3 linked regions of the Schizosaccharomyces pombe genome follow. The protein of the gene in region 2 binds, or shares a complex with, the protein of the main gene of each other region. Each region holds a gene or a part of one and is shown on either strand. Other genes may lie near its edges.

Evidence for each region. The genes of interacting proteins can lie anywhere in the genome.
Region 1: mrpl7 (region 2) and mrp7 share a complex: the UniProt entries of both Schizosaccharomyces pombe proteins name them as parts of the mitochondrial large ribosomal subunit.
Region 3: mrpl7 (region 2) and mrpl33 share a complex: the UniProt entries of both Schizosaccharomyces pombe proteins name them as parts of the mitochondrial large ribosomal subunit.

Annotation. Positions count from the first base shown.
Region 1 is NC_003423.3:2,860,979-2,864,606, forward strand, and holds mrp7 (mitochondrial 54S ribosomal protein bL27m), read right to left. Parts: upstream 1,783-3,628; 5' UTR 1,647-1,782; coding exon 1,185-1,646; 3' UTR 501-1,184; downstream 1-500. Other genes in the region: morphogenesis protein Mor2, read right to left, coding at 1-262; Lid2 complex histone demethylase subunit Lid2, read left to right, coding at 2,837-3,628. UniProt on the Schizosaccharomyces pombe protein: Component of the mitochondrial ribosome (mitoribosome), a dedicated translation machinery responsible for the synthesis of mitochondrial genome-encoded proteins, including at least some of the essential transmembrane subunits of the mitochondrial respiratory chain.
Region 2 is NC_003423.3:1,735,552-1,742,410, forward strand, and holds mrpl7 (mitochondrial 54S ribosomal protein uL5m), read left to right. Parts: upstream 1-3,090; 5' UTR 3,091-3,426; coding exon 3,427-4,290; 3' UTR 4,291-4,546; downstream 4,547-6,859. Other genes in the region: ebs1 (EST1 family protein), read left to right, coding at 1-1,478; MAP kinase kinase kinase Byr2, read right to left, coding at 4,766-6,745. UniProt on the Schizosaccharomyces pombe protein: Component of the mitochondrial ribosome (mitoribosome), a dedicated translation machinery responsible for the synthesis of mitochondrial genome-encoded proteins, including at least some of the essential transmembrane subunits of the mitochondrial respiratory chain.
Region 3 is NC_003421.2:2,221,479-2,224,260, forward strand, and holds mrpl33 (mitochondrial 54S ribosomal protein uL30m), read right to left. Parts: upstream 1,105-2,782; 5' UTR 1,094-1,104; coding exon 1,044-1,093; intron 989-1,043; coding exon 745-988; 3' UTR 726-744; downstream 1-725. Other genes in the region: SPOM_SPCC1919.07 (uncharacterized protein), read left to right, coding at 105-725; tif6 (translation initiation factor-like ribosome biogenesis protein), read left to right, coding at 1,676-1,710, 1,765-1,836, 2,152-2,779. UniProt on the Schizosaccharomyces pombe protein: Component of the mitochondrial ribosome (mitoribosome), a dedicated translation machinery responsible for the synthesis of mitochondrial genome-encoded proteins, including at least some of the essential transmembrane subunits of the mitochondrial respiratory chain.

The sequences.
Region 1 (3,628 bases), 1.1 Mb from region 2:
TACATCTGTCAAATTCATTATCTTCCCCCTTTTTAAGAAGGAGGATAGCTTCTTGCTCTCCAACGTTGAATCGTACAGGTTCAGCATTCTTACCTTCGTTGGCATGATAACGAGAAAGAAATGATATTTTTTGTTCAGAGAGTCGAACAAACTGGGTGAAAAGTATGTGAAGCGCGTAATCAACTGCCGTATGGTCCTGCTTCTCAGAATACAAAGGACCATTTTCGACAGGTTGATCGTGAGCAATTTCATTCAAGCTCATTCAGGTTGGCATTATATGGTTATCTACTAAATAGACGAACTTCAAAGAAAAGGAGTATGCAAAGTAAGGGTTTGAGAGCAATACCGCTAGCCTACAGAAAAGTGAAGAAAAAAGTGTATAAAAAAGCTATCTCGTTAGTTTTTATATTTAAGCATGCGTAAGCAAATTGACTAGCAATCGATTGTTAAAATTTAGGCGTGAATGGATTCAAAACTAGAAGTTTGTAATGGCTAGCACTCCGAACAATAAAACCTCTCAGCACACTGCAACAATTTTTGCACATAAAGGAATATAACGCACTGCGTTGTAGTAGGTGTGGTACTATATAGTAGGTGATATACTTAAAAGTCTAACTTCAAAATGCCCAAAATAATTTTTAAATGAAATGTAAAAAAAGAATAACCTTCTGTATGTTTGGTCAAAACTTTCTGAATTCTATGTCAGAAAAGATAATATGGTACAAGTTCAGTTTTTTTTAATGATTTTTAAACCGTGGCAAATGCGATTTTTACACGCTAACTTTTTGGAAACGAATTATAAATATTTGTTGAAAAAACTTGAAAGTTTAAGAACAACATATACAATGCTTAATTATCAAATTATTCGCGTGGAAAAAAATAGAAGCATAAATCAGTAGAAAAAGAAAGACATATACGCAAACTTGTATACGCCCAAGACAAAGTAACAAAATAAGTTATAAATTTAATCATGCATTCACATTTTTGAGCATTAGACAGTAATAAACTACGATGACCGTGACGGGAGTTTAAATAAATAATAAAAAGAAGAAAATGTTATTTCGTGCAACCTTAAGTTGAAGGAAATCCAAAGGCATTGATGCATGTAATTATTAGTATATCCTTTTGAAGTATCTCTAAATAGTGAGCATTGCAGGTATGATGATGAGAGTTTCCGCATGGTTTCATGAAACTTGAGCAGAATTAGCAGAAGTTATATACTTATTGACACGGCGAATTGTAGGTTCATCTTTGGGCCTTGGTAACGTTGTCTCTTTGTCAAAAACAACACCGACGTATTTCCTCCGTTTGCGAAGAGACACATCCATTTGAAAAAACTTAACATATCCGGAAACAAGAGAATATATTGTGTGATCTTTACCTAGACCGGTATTATCTCCGGGATGAAATTTTGTACCACGTTGTCGAATTAGGATCTCACCAGCCCTAACGAATTGGTTTTCAGACCTTTTTATGCCGAGACGACGACCAGCAGAATCACCTGTGTTTTTCGATGAACCACCGCCATGTTTAGTAGAAGTACGAATAGGAGGGAAAGTGAGAATATTTGATGCTTTCTTATAAGCTAAACTAGCTTTAAGTAATTGAAAATTGTTAACACGAATAAAAAGCCCTTGATTGATCATTGCACGGTGAACTTTGCATCAAATGAAGTACGTATTGTAAAAGAAAAATGTGTTAAACTGATTTGGCAAATAATTAGTAATGTAGAAGGATACTAAATATTAAAAAAATTATATCTTCGTCGAAATATTGGTTTATACTAAAAGGATGGATTCGTTGTAACCAATCTTCGAAAGTTTCTACCTTACATTTCCTTTATCCCAATTTACGAGTCGTGGTAATCGTATAAAATATTCTTATTTTACAATAGTGTAGCCTTACATTTTCTGTTTGAAATTCCTTACTCCTAATATCTCGCTAAAAGAGTACCATTACCTACAATTTACTTTGTTTATATTGGAAGCATGATCGCTAATGAAAAAAAAAGTAAAAGACACTAAATTTACGTCGACAATTTCTATCCTTCTTTTTAATCATGGAAAATTCACTTGGCTCTTCAATTCAAACAGCATTAATGACTGCATGAAAGAAATATAACTTTTTCAAAGTTTTAGCCTTTATTGTATTGTCTTTATTACTCAATGATATTCAATTTTACTTGAACTTTTAAAGTATGCAGCTGGAATCACATATAATAGATTTTTCTGTGCTACTAATTGATGTCTTAATGCAATTTCAACTGTTTTGTTCCTCAAAGCAAAAATTTATGAATAAAAACGGATGTGCTTCGTGTTACTAGTTGGTGGCAGGAACCAGCAAATTTCATTTTCTTGTGAAGAAACCATAAATTCTACCTTGACAGCGATATGCTTCAAGTTATACAGTATATGTGCTGCCTTAGTTCGCAGGATAATGTATCAGGATATTGTCAAGCTTTAACTGGATTTGATTATACTCGGAAACTTCCTTAGGTTAAAAACTTTTAAAATTGGCATAAAATCTTTTTCTCGTGGATCTTCCAGCCATAGCACGACAGGGAGTACTAATTAAAGTACGTTTTGCTTAGCTGTACCTACGTTAATGTCGATCTGAAGCTTTAAGCTACTACTTCCACCTAATACTGTCGTGTCGATCCCATAACGGTGTGTTATCGACGATAAATACATCAATGTACGCGTTTTTTATTTTATGTAATTTATTAGAATATTTTTTAAAAGTTGTAAAATTTTTTGGTATATATTTTTAAAACAGGGTGGTGTTGCATTTCTAAATATTTCTCCATGTATATTGATTATGCACTTTTCCGTTTTCCATGATATGCCAGCTTTTGTGGCACGAACATAATTCTATGGGATCAGGAAGAGAGAAGAAAATAAGAAAGCTAGGAGATAACTTTTCATTACCATATCTGAAATTTGATTGTGACCATAATGACAAAAATTATCGCGCGTCAAATAGGCCATTTGGACTTTCAACTGGACTGTCAGTGCAGTTGAATGCTTCGAACATGACTGATCCCTTTAAATTTTTGTTAGATAATTGGCATACAATTTTCAAAAATGGAGCAATTAAGCTTCTGCCACCTGAGGGATGGCAAATACCTGTTGTTCTTGATCAAGGCGCTTTTGAGTTTCAGTCAAAACGCCAATGTTTAAATAAAGGTTGTCTCAATTATGAAAAAAATTATGATTATTTTAAGAAACTTAAAGCATTTCATGAAAGTCGCGGTTTATATTTTTATCACCCACCGATTATCGGGAATCGCCCAGTTGATTTTTTGCGTTTGCGTAATGCAATCTCAAAGTTTACTAATTCCGGCTCTTCATTAAATAATGAAATTTTACATAAAGTCATAATCTATTTGCGTCTTGAAGATACTAAAGAAGTGAGGCAGGTTCTCACTCGTTGCTATGATCGATACATCAAACCATTTGAAAGGGATTCATCGCCATCATTCAAATCAAAAAGATCAGAGAGCTCAACTCGGAAAATTAGAAACACTCGTAGTTCAGCTCAGCAAGAATCCCCTATACCCGAAACTTCTGCTCAATCTCCTGTTCAAACCATCCAGGTCAACGGCTCTACGAGTTTGAAACGACCTCTT
Region 2 (6,859 bases):
ATGTTGCGGCCTCATCGGCTAAGACTAGTTTATTTATTGCTTTGAAGCGTTGCTTCGGCAAAACTAATGATGGTTCGAATCCCTGTTTATATCATAAGGAATCCTCTGCCATTTCCCTGTTTTTGCGTCTGTATGCAATTGCTTTTAGTAATACTGATGCCGACTACATACAAGACTCTGGTCCTTTATTCAAACGAGTTCGATTTCTTCTTTCTGAGTCACTTAAAAGCGGCTTGTTTTCAGAATCCTCTTTATTACAGATGACATATTGTGCATTGGCTGCAAGGGTTTTAGCTCCATTTATTGGCTTTAGTGATTCTGGAGAACACGGTGAGTCGTATCCGAATTTAAAGCTTGCTACACAAACTACAACTATGTTTTTTGAAGTCCTTTCTGATTCAGTGAATAGCCAGCTTCCTTTACAAGCTCTTACCTCTGGTGTGTCGAGTAAGAAGGACGGTAATTTTGATGATCTAGTCGAACGTCGTCAATATGGATCTCTGTCTTCAAATGCTGTACTTATGCCAATGCTTCTACCTTTGTGTGTTTTGACTTCTTCGTGTTTGCAAAATGGGGACGTCTGGCTTACTAAAGATATTCGAACTGGACTTTCACAGATATTCAATCGTTTAAGCTTCTTTTTGGAGAACACAAATCAAACAGCTCCCGACGACTCTGTTCTTGTACGCTGTTCTTCTAAAAGTATCGGCCTGCTATTCTTTTTCCCTCTTGTTAAGGTTTGTGGAGTTCCTCGTGATACTTTACAGTGGCTTTACTTTTCAAATCATTATCCTTTTAATGAGGAAGGTAAAGGTCCCCAAGTTGATGATTCTGACGCACTGATAACAATTGCGTTAGATTCTTTGTATGTGTTACTGAATATGCGAGCGAAAAGTACACCAAATAGCACATCTTTTTCTTCGCCTCCAACACCCCACAGATCTCCATTTAGCGGACAGGCTTTTACTGGAATGGGATTATCGAATTATTCACTAATGTCCTCATCTTCTTTTCCATCTGCTCAATCTTCTCCTACATCTCCTTTTTTATCTGGAACACCATCCATAGCTAATCAGTCATCTAGTATTGCAAGTCTGCAATTTGGGAGGATGGTGGATAGCCTCGTTGGACCTGTTCAACCTATACCTGCTCAAACTACCGGGTGCTCTGTTCATTCATTACAACAACGCACGTTTTCAAATGAGAGTCCTAGAGCTGTCGATTCTGGTTTTAGTAGGACTAGCACACCATTTAGTGAAAGTACTAGTTCTTATCCTTTAGTGTCTGGGAATCTCAGTTCTTGTGAGACACACTTGAACGGATCTCCGCAAAACGGACATTTACAAGGTGAACGTGTTTTATTCCGCCCATTGAGAAGCCCTGCTTTAAACACATTTTCTACGCCTGCTACGGAACCTCCGGAACATTTGGTTTTGTCTGAGCTATTAAAGAAAATGGTTAACATCAGCAATAATTAAACTGTATTGTTGATTGTAATGTTTCATTAAAAATTCTGAAGTTTGTTAGAAGCAGTCAATTAACTTTGCTGCCAACAACGAACAAATTTCTTGCTTTATTTCTCACGAAGTGAAATAACCCAAAATAATGTATCACGGATTTCTTTGTTTATACACTGTGCTTACGAATTAGAAATGGTTCTTCACTTGCCTAAAGAAAGGCTTTGACTTTTATATAAGTATGAATAGTCATCAAATGGCCTAAAGTGTACGGGTATTCACGACACTTAAATTAAAATATGGTCGATGGGAAAATAAAACGTTGTTTAGTTATCATAGCGCTGTTCTGGTTTGACCTAAACACAAGCAATTAAGGCGCTTCCCAATGTTACAATATATATCATAGAATGGGTTAATTGTTTACATAGGACTGCGTTGAATTCTTTAAATAGAATCTTTAGCCTCGAATTATGAAGTTATCTGACTTGTTGGATATCCTCAGCTTGCCAATTGATTGATAATAAGCATATGAGCTTGGACAGTGAATATTCAATATTTGGTTACTCAGTGCAATTTGTTTTGTGATTCTAAGCAGAAATGCTCTTTATAAACATTTACTGCACTATCTTGAGTTTCTAGAGCTTGTTCTGTATCCAAATTGTAATGACTGGCGATTCTCAAGTGCCAGATCTTATACCTCTTTTTATGTCTTTACCAGACGTTATCGTAATGCCTGGACACAAAACTAAAGTGTAAATTTGTCTTTCCTATGAAATGCTTGGTTTTTCATTAAAGTGTTACGAATTCGAAACATATATCTATGATTTTTGAGTATACACTGGCGGTATCTGTTGTTTAAGATAATTTAGTTTTGAGTTATTCGAGGCAATCAATTTCTTATCAAGTGTGATTCTCTTTTTAGAAAACCAAACTAAAAGTAAATCTATTGATCTTTTCAAGTATTAAGACAACTTGTTTTCTTTTGGATAAAATGCTTTTATTGTTGCATAATAGATTGATAAAGGTACGAAATGTATAAATGCATTATTTTATGTTGAGTACTTTACTCTTTCAGGATTGTGTTTGAGCTAAGCTTCTTGCATCTCTCATTCATCATCACACATCTATATTGAAAGGAAAGAAGGTAAAAAACGAACAAGAACAAAGTGAATACAAAAGAACGAATTGGATTAGTATTGTTATTGCATGAAAGTGATCTTATGACATGCATCACTATCCTATCCAAATAGTTTGTAGAGCCAGTTAGTAATAATACTTTCCAATAATTTGAATATGTGTGGCATGCCATTTGGCACGATTTTGAGAAATACAAAAATAAAATCATCTTGTAAAAGAAGAGCAATTAGCTGCTTTTTTATGTACCAGCTGAAGGAAAAACATTTGTTTTTCGACGTATAAAAAAAAACAGAAAGACATCAGCTTAAAGCTTTAAAGCTAACTTGTTTAAATAAGTTTGTAAGTTACAAGTACAATACTTTCTATTACACTTGGCACTCAAAATCGTGTGGCATATGATTATAACGATGCCTCGGATTTCCTTACTTGGCACTAGGTAATACGGTACACTAACCATGACAATACACTAGACAAACGCGAGCAATCTTCCAGCCCTAGTACCTAAGATCCATTGCAAAATTGTTTTGGTTGCGAGACTTACCTGTTTTATCCATAACCATTTGTTAAAACCTTCCTTTGAAGATTTGAGAAACAGGTATCATTTGTGGACATTGGTCTTTACAATTTCCTTGTTTCGTGATTATAAATATTTTTTCCCGGATTTGTGTTATTTACTATAATTTATTGGTAAATTATAACACAAGTGCTCATCTGCTTATAAAGCAAAAGGATTTTCACGAAAATTCCCTAGAAAGTAACCTGTTGTATTTTTGTCGCTTTTGGTTTCTCTTTGTCATTATACTTGTTTTAATTCATTTTTTAATTTTTAACAATGCTTGGGATAAGAAAAAATATCAGAATATCAGTTAACTTTCTGCAGCGAAGAACCATCACTGTAAAGCAAAAACTGGGCAAGAATAGGCCCCTACCAGGATGGGATCCAAATTCTGAGTATTTTCGTCCAGGACCCACCATGTTAAATCGCTTACAAGAACACTTGCATGATACCATTTTACCGGATGTATTAGCTGCTTCATATCGACATGACATAGATACAGCGTTAAGCACAGATGAACATACACAGAAAGACAGACTTCCAAGGTGGATTGGTGATAACCCTTATTATAAAAACCGGCCTCCTCAGAAAATGCGTGGTAATAAGCCTCTGTTACCAGTAAAGGAGTCCGTTAATCCTAAAAACCTTCCTTCTATTAGCAAAGTTGTCGTCAGCACTATGCATAAAGAAGCACTCGTTGACAAAACGCAGCTCTTGAGTACAATGATGGCATTTCGTTCTATAACGGGTTTGCAGCCCGAAATAGTCTATGCACGTAAGGACGTTTCTCCCTGGAAACTTCGTTCAGGTGTGCCAGTAGGTGTAAAGGTTACTCTAACTGGAGAATCTATGTATACATTTCTTTCAATCTTATCTGAGTTGGTTCTTCCTCAGCTTCATGATTTCAAGGGCCTGAGTCCTACAAGCGGAGATCAAACAGGAAACATATCTTTTGGTTTACCAAGTGAAGTCATGCCTTTATTTCCCCAAATTGAAGCTGTTTATGAGATGTATCCGCACTCTTTACCTGGATTTAACGTAAATATAACAACCAATTCCAAAGATACCCGTTTGGCTCGTTTTTTCGTCAGCAGTCTTATTCCATTTACAGATGGAAATAAGGAAGGCTATGTTGGATAGTAGACAATTTATTTTATATCTACTATACCTAATCTTTTCTCCTCAAGGAGTGAACAAAAAATCCCCTTCTCTACGACTAATGCATACATACGTTTTTGAGTTTTACTTGTTTAAGTGATAGAATTCCCGTAGATATGTGTTATTATATATTTATGTTATCGTTTTCACAAAGTAAATAAAAATAAAAAGTTTTTTCTTGAAAAGGAATAATCAATGGATATTTTTTAAACAAACTGAACATGTAAAATAGTATTTTTTTAGTAACTAAACTCATAATGGTATTTATCAAGGACATTCACAAAATCATTAAAAACATGAATATTGTAGAAAAATATAGCAACTTAAATCATACGGTTTATAGGTTAAATAAATTCATTAGTTCTAAATGGCATAAATGCAATGATAATGATGCAAAAAAACATAAAAAAGATAGATCGTAAAATAATGTTTCTGTTTTCATCATAACTTAGCCGGCTTATGAAACGAACGGGTGGCTCAACAACTCTGATGCTGTAGGTCTAAGATTACAATCTATGGCAAACGTTTTCTCAAGGAAATCTATGGCCGATGAAGAAATGTTAGAAGGGAATTCCGGCAGAATGTTCTCCCCAATTCTGAAAATGGCCTGCATTTGATCACAATTCGGATAAGGGTGCTTACTAGTGAGCATCTCGATTACCAAACATCCCAAAGACCAAATATCTGTTTTCTCCGTATGCATAGTTTGCTTCACCACTTCGGGAGCCATCCAAAAAGAAGAGCCTTGAAAAGAAGGGCGAGCACCACCCGTCTTCGTAGAGGTACTATTTAGTTCAAGTTTCTTCGATATCCCAAAGTCCGAAATTTTAATCTTCCCTTTATTATCAACCAAGATGTTCGCACCTTTTATATCACGGTGTACAATGCCGCGTGAATGAAGGTATTCTAAGCCTTTAAGGGTTTGCTTAATAAAGTTCTTGACTAGCGTTTCCTCAAAGCTTCCATACATTGTAAGCAATCCGGCAACCGACCCCCCAGGAACATATTCCAAAAAAATGTTCAAGTGGTCCGAATTTAAGTTAGAACCGAGATATTGGACAATATGCTCATGAGACAACTCCTGTAGAAGAGCAATTTCACCCGCTAATGCATCTAAAAGTTTGGCATGGCGGTCTTTTGATTCAGAAACAGAATCTAAGATCACTTGCTTAACAGCCATCAACTCACCACTAGATGCATTCATACCGAGATAAACTTGTCCAAACGATCCTGAACCTATTAACGCACCACGTATCCATTTGATAGACTGATCATCAGTGTCCTCTTCAAGTGTATTTGTGTCCTCACTTGTAGTGGAAGTTGGAGAAATTGGGGATGGTTGCTCAATAAATGATGGGGATGAACCAGGTGAAAAGGAAAGTACTTGATGGTTGCCATGCGCGCTTTCTGAAAAAACATTATACTTCGACGATTTTTCATTTCCGTTGGACTGGTATAAAGGTTCCACACCAACCATGGTTATGGATTTTTGAAGCGATGGTGGTCTAGAAATACGCTGAGTAGAAGATACAGTAAGTGGAGGATCAAATCCCCTATCAATCCTAGGAAGTCGGTTAACATCTTCAGCAACAGAAATCCTCAGAGAGGAAAGAGGACAAACCAATTCGGAAGGGCGAGCCCGCCGAGAGCTTCTTGGCAAAATTTCTTGACCAAAATTACCAAGATTGTGCCCTTGAGACGTACGTATGCTAAGGTTTCTACGAAGAGAGTTTGATATTGTTTTTTCCAGTAGCTTTGGTTGATGATCGGGGAAAAAATCGGAAATTCTAGAATTAATAAGCTCGCTAGGAGGTCGCTGGTAGGATTCAAATGGTTTCGCATTATTTGAGCGGACACTTCGTTTCTGAGTGCTCGTGGGAAGAACAGAGGAAAGTTTAGGAGAAAGGGAGGACTGTGATGATAATGCTGCCGGTTGAGCCAATTCAATCTCCCAAGAACGGCGGAGGTCTTCAAACGATGGACAAGGCTTTTCTTTTGGCACAATAATTAACCTGTCGCGTTCCGGTGAAGATGAATTAAAACAAATTTGTTTAAATTCTTCTTCAGTAATCAGCTTAATTCGACTACTCTGTGAAACGCATACAATGAATTTTGAAGCATCTTCAAGGCTAAACTTTTTCAAAGCAATAGCGAGTGTTTTCTGGTAATCTCCTCGTGATTGAACTGCTCGAGTTTGCCCGTTACAGGCAATAAACCTCAGTATACATGGACGTGGAAACTCTCGTAAATAGTCTCTTTGTTTTAAAAATTGTTTGCCTTTGGCGGTGTTTTCAATGCCTAGGTCTTTCAGTAAAGGCAAGGTTAAATGATTTAGGTGTCGTCCTTCAATGTTATTTTGTGAAAATTGTTCGATATACTTCTCCAATCCGATACTTTTCAACCATTCTGCTACCTCCTTCGAGGTATAATATTCCATAAATGCAGGAAAGTGGTTGTACAACGTATAACTTCTAAGTTCAAAGTTGGTAGCATTTACGTTTAACCTGCCTCCCTTAGTCTCGTGCTCTTTGACGTAACAATATAACTATAC
Region 3 (2,782 bases), on a different chromosome or scaffold from region 2:
ATAAACCACTACGAGAAAAGAAAAAAATTGACCAACATTGTAAAAAAACTTATTGTCTTATAGGGTACAGGTTCCTCCTTGCCTCTTCAGACACGACGTCCCATATGGTAGTACAAGATAAATGGAAGAGAAAAGCGACATTAGCGTATAAAAAAAAGCATGACATTCATGATGCACCTGTAAAACCTCGTAAAAAAAATTTGGGAAATAACGAATGGAGATTTAAAAATGCAGGGGAATACTTTGATGAAGATAACAATGAGGAAGAATATCCAAGTTTGGAAAGTTTGAAGACCGTGGGGAATGGAGATACAATTCAAGATGAAGAAGAAGATTTCGAGTATTCAAAACTACAAGCACGGCCCCTTACTGGTTTGGGAATTAGCAACCAAAAACCCAAGTCCAAAGTTCGGACTATCCAACGTGAAGAAGTAGCCGACATGTTGGAGAGCGTTGAGCATGAAAAGTCAATTCAAGAATTCCGTAAGCGTTATAATGTACAAAAGCCAAAGGTAAACATTAGCCATGCTGAAGCGGAAGAAGATATTGATTCTTTTCTTGAAAGTATGGATCAGTCTGCTCCGCCTTCCATTACAGAAGATAAAGGGGAAAATTACATTTCTTCTAATCATTCCAGCATGCATATTTCAAGAAACGACTCTAGGAACTATATGTCTGAAAAGCCAAACAAAGACCAAAGTTGGTTAGATGAACTATTACGATAAATATAACTAGAATGAAAATTTAACTTTCAAACATGTTATTCAATTCTTTTAAACCGTTATTGTATCGATGTATCACTGTAAATCCGCTACTAGAAGCAAGAGACTTCTTTTCTTGCCCAGCGGCTAACTTTTGTTTCACAGTACTGACACTAACGAGTTCTTTTACTTTAAAAATTCTTCCCGCATTGATTGGATTTACATCGCAATAGACTACGGAGTGTCTTTTTGTTAACCTCAAAGAATGCAAAACGCTGCGCACCTTACTAAAATATTGGTTAGCAATTACAAGCATGTTTTTCTCGTTTCCAAAACACGTACCTCGAGAGCCCGATGGCTGACCTTTCTAAACGAACTCGAAAGAATGACATTATGGTAAACTAGAAGTTCGTGGAGTCCGTTTAACACTAAATATTGAAACTCTTTTAGTTCAACCGATAAAATACAATTCATATCGCAAGCTCGTTATTGTTCACTATTATTCACTACGTTGCTATCTATTTAACGATACATTGAATTACGATGAATTTTTTGCGATCCACATTTAGTGGAATGCAGTATATTAACTACAATGTTATATTTATTGTTATAAGAAGTCTATTAGTGTAAGTCACCGATATGGTTAAAAAATGGAGAGGAGCGATTTACAGTAACATCTATAATTATCATCTTTCTAGTAGTTGTAATCACATGGTGTCTATGAGTATAGACGACTACTTATCTGTTTACTGTCAATAAACGGATCTTTACTAATATTCCAACATGTAACATATAGTGATACGCAACCTAGTAAATCATTAGTGTAATGCAGTATTACCGATATATCACAAAAAATTATGTTAATTGGTATTACGTGTCTGCTTCACAATGCTAATATCATATTAACGATGTTCAATGGATTATTATTTTTAAGATGTGAAATTTGGCTGGGATAAAACTTTTTCTTTACCAAAATGGCACTTCGTGCTCAATTCGAGAATTCTAATGAGTAAGTTTACTCAGCTTTTTTGCTTAATAGACGCATGATATTAACAAATTATAGGATTGGTGTCTTTTCTAATCTCACAAACTCATACGCACTTGTAGCGCTTGGAGGCTCTGAAAACTTCTACAGGTAAGCTTAACGTTTATTTGATGCCAAAATTTAATGTTCTAAATGTAAACGATTCAAAATTTTTTTAAAGGTTCTTAAAATCCTTAACCAGTCGAACGTATTATGAGAAAAATAAATAGCACATATGTGAATGATGTAGCCTAACTACTCTTTAATTGAGTAAAAGAGACTTTGCTACATAAATGCAAACCACTACTTAAACTCTGGCGGTTTGCTGTTCATTACCTTTATTATTCCTTGACTCGATGCAGCTCGACAAATTATTTTTTTTGGCATTTTTTACATTTATCAACTTTTCACTAACTTTTATAACAGCGTGTTCGAGGCAGAGTTAGGTGATGTTGTACCCGTTGTTCATACCACAATTGGAGGAACCAGAATCATTGGTCGTTTGACATGTGGTAATAGAAAAGGTCTGTTAGTTCCCTCTTCTACCACCGATAATGAACTACAGCACCTCCGCAATTCTCTTCCAGATCCTGTCAAAATCCAACGTGTTGATGAACGACTTTCAGCTCTAGGAAACATTGTGGCTTGCAACGACTATGTGGCCCTTGTTCATCCTGATATTGAGCGTGAAACCGAGGAAATTATTGCTGATGTCTTAGATGTTGAAGTTTTCCGTCAAACCGTTGCAGGCAATGTTTTAACCGGTTCGTATTGTGCATTGAGCAATCAAGGTGCTTTGGTTCACCCTCGTACTAGCATTCAGGAACAGGATGAATTGTCATCACTTCTTCAAGTTCCTCTTGTTGCCGGTACCATCAACCGTGGTTCCGATGTTATCGGTGCTGGTCTAGTTGTGAACGACTGGTGTGCGTTTGCTGGACTTGATACTACGGCTACTGAATTGGCTGTCTGTGAATCTATATTTAAACTTCAAGATGCTCAACCTTCTGCTATTATAAGCAACAGAGACACTCTTGTTGAGTCTTATACATAAGCA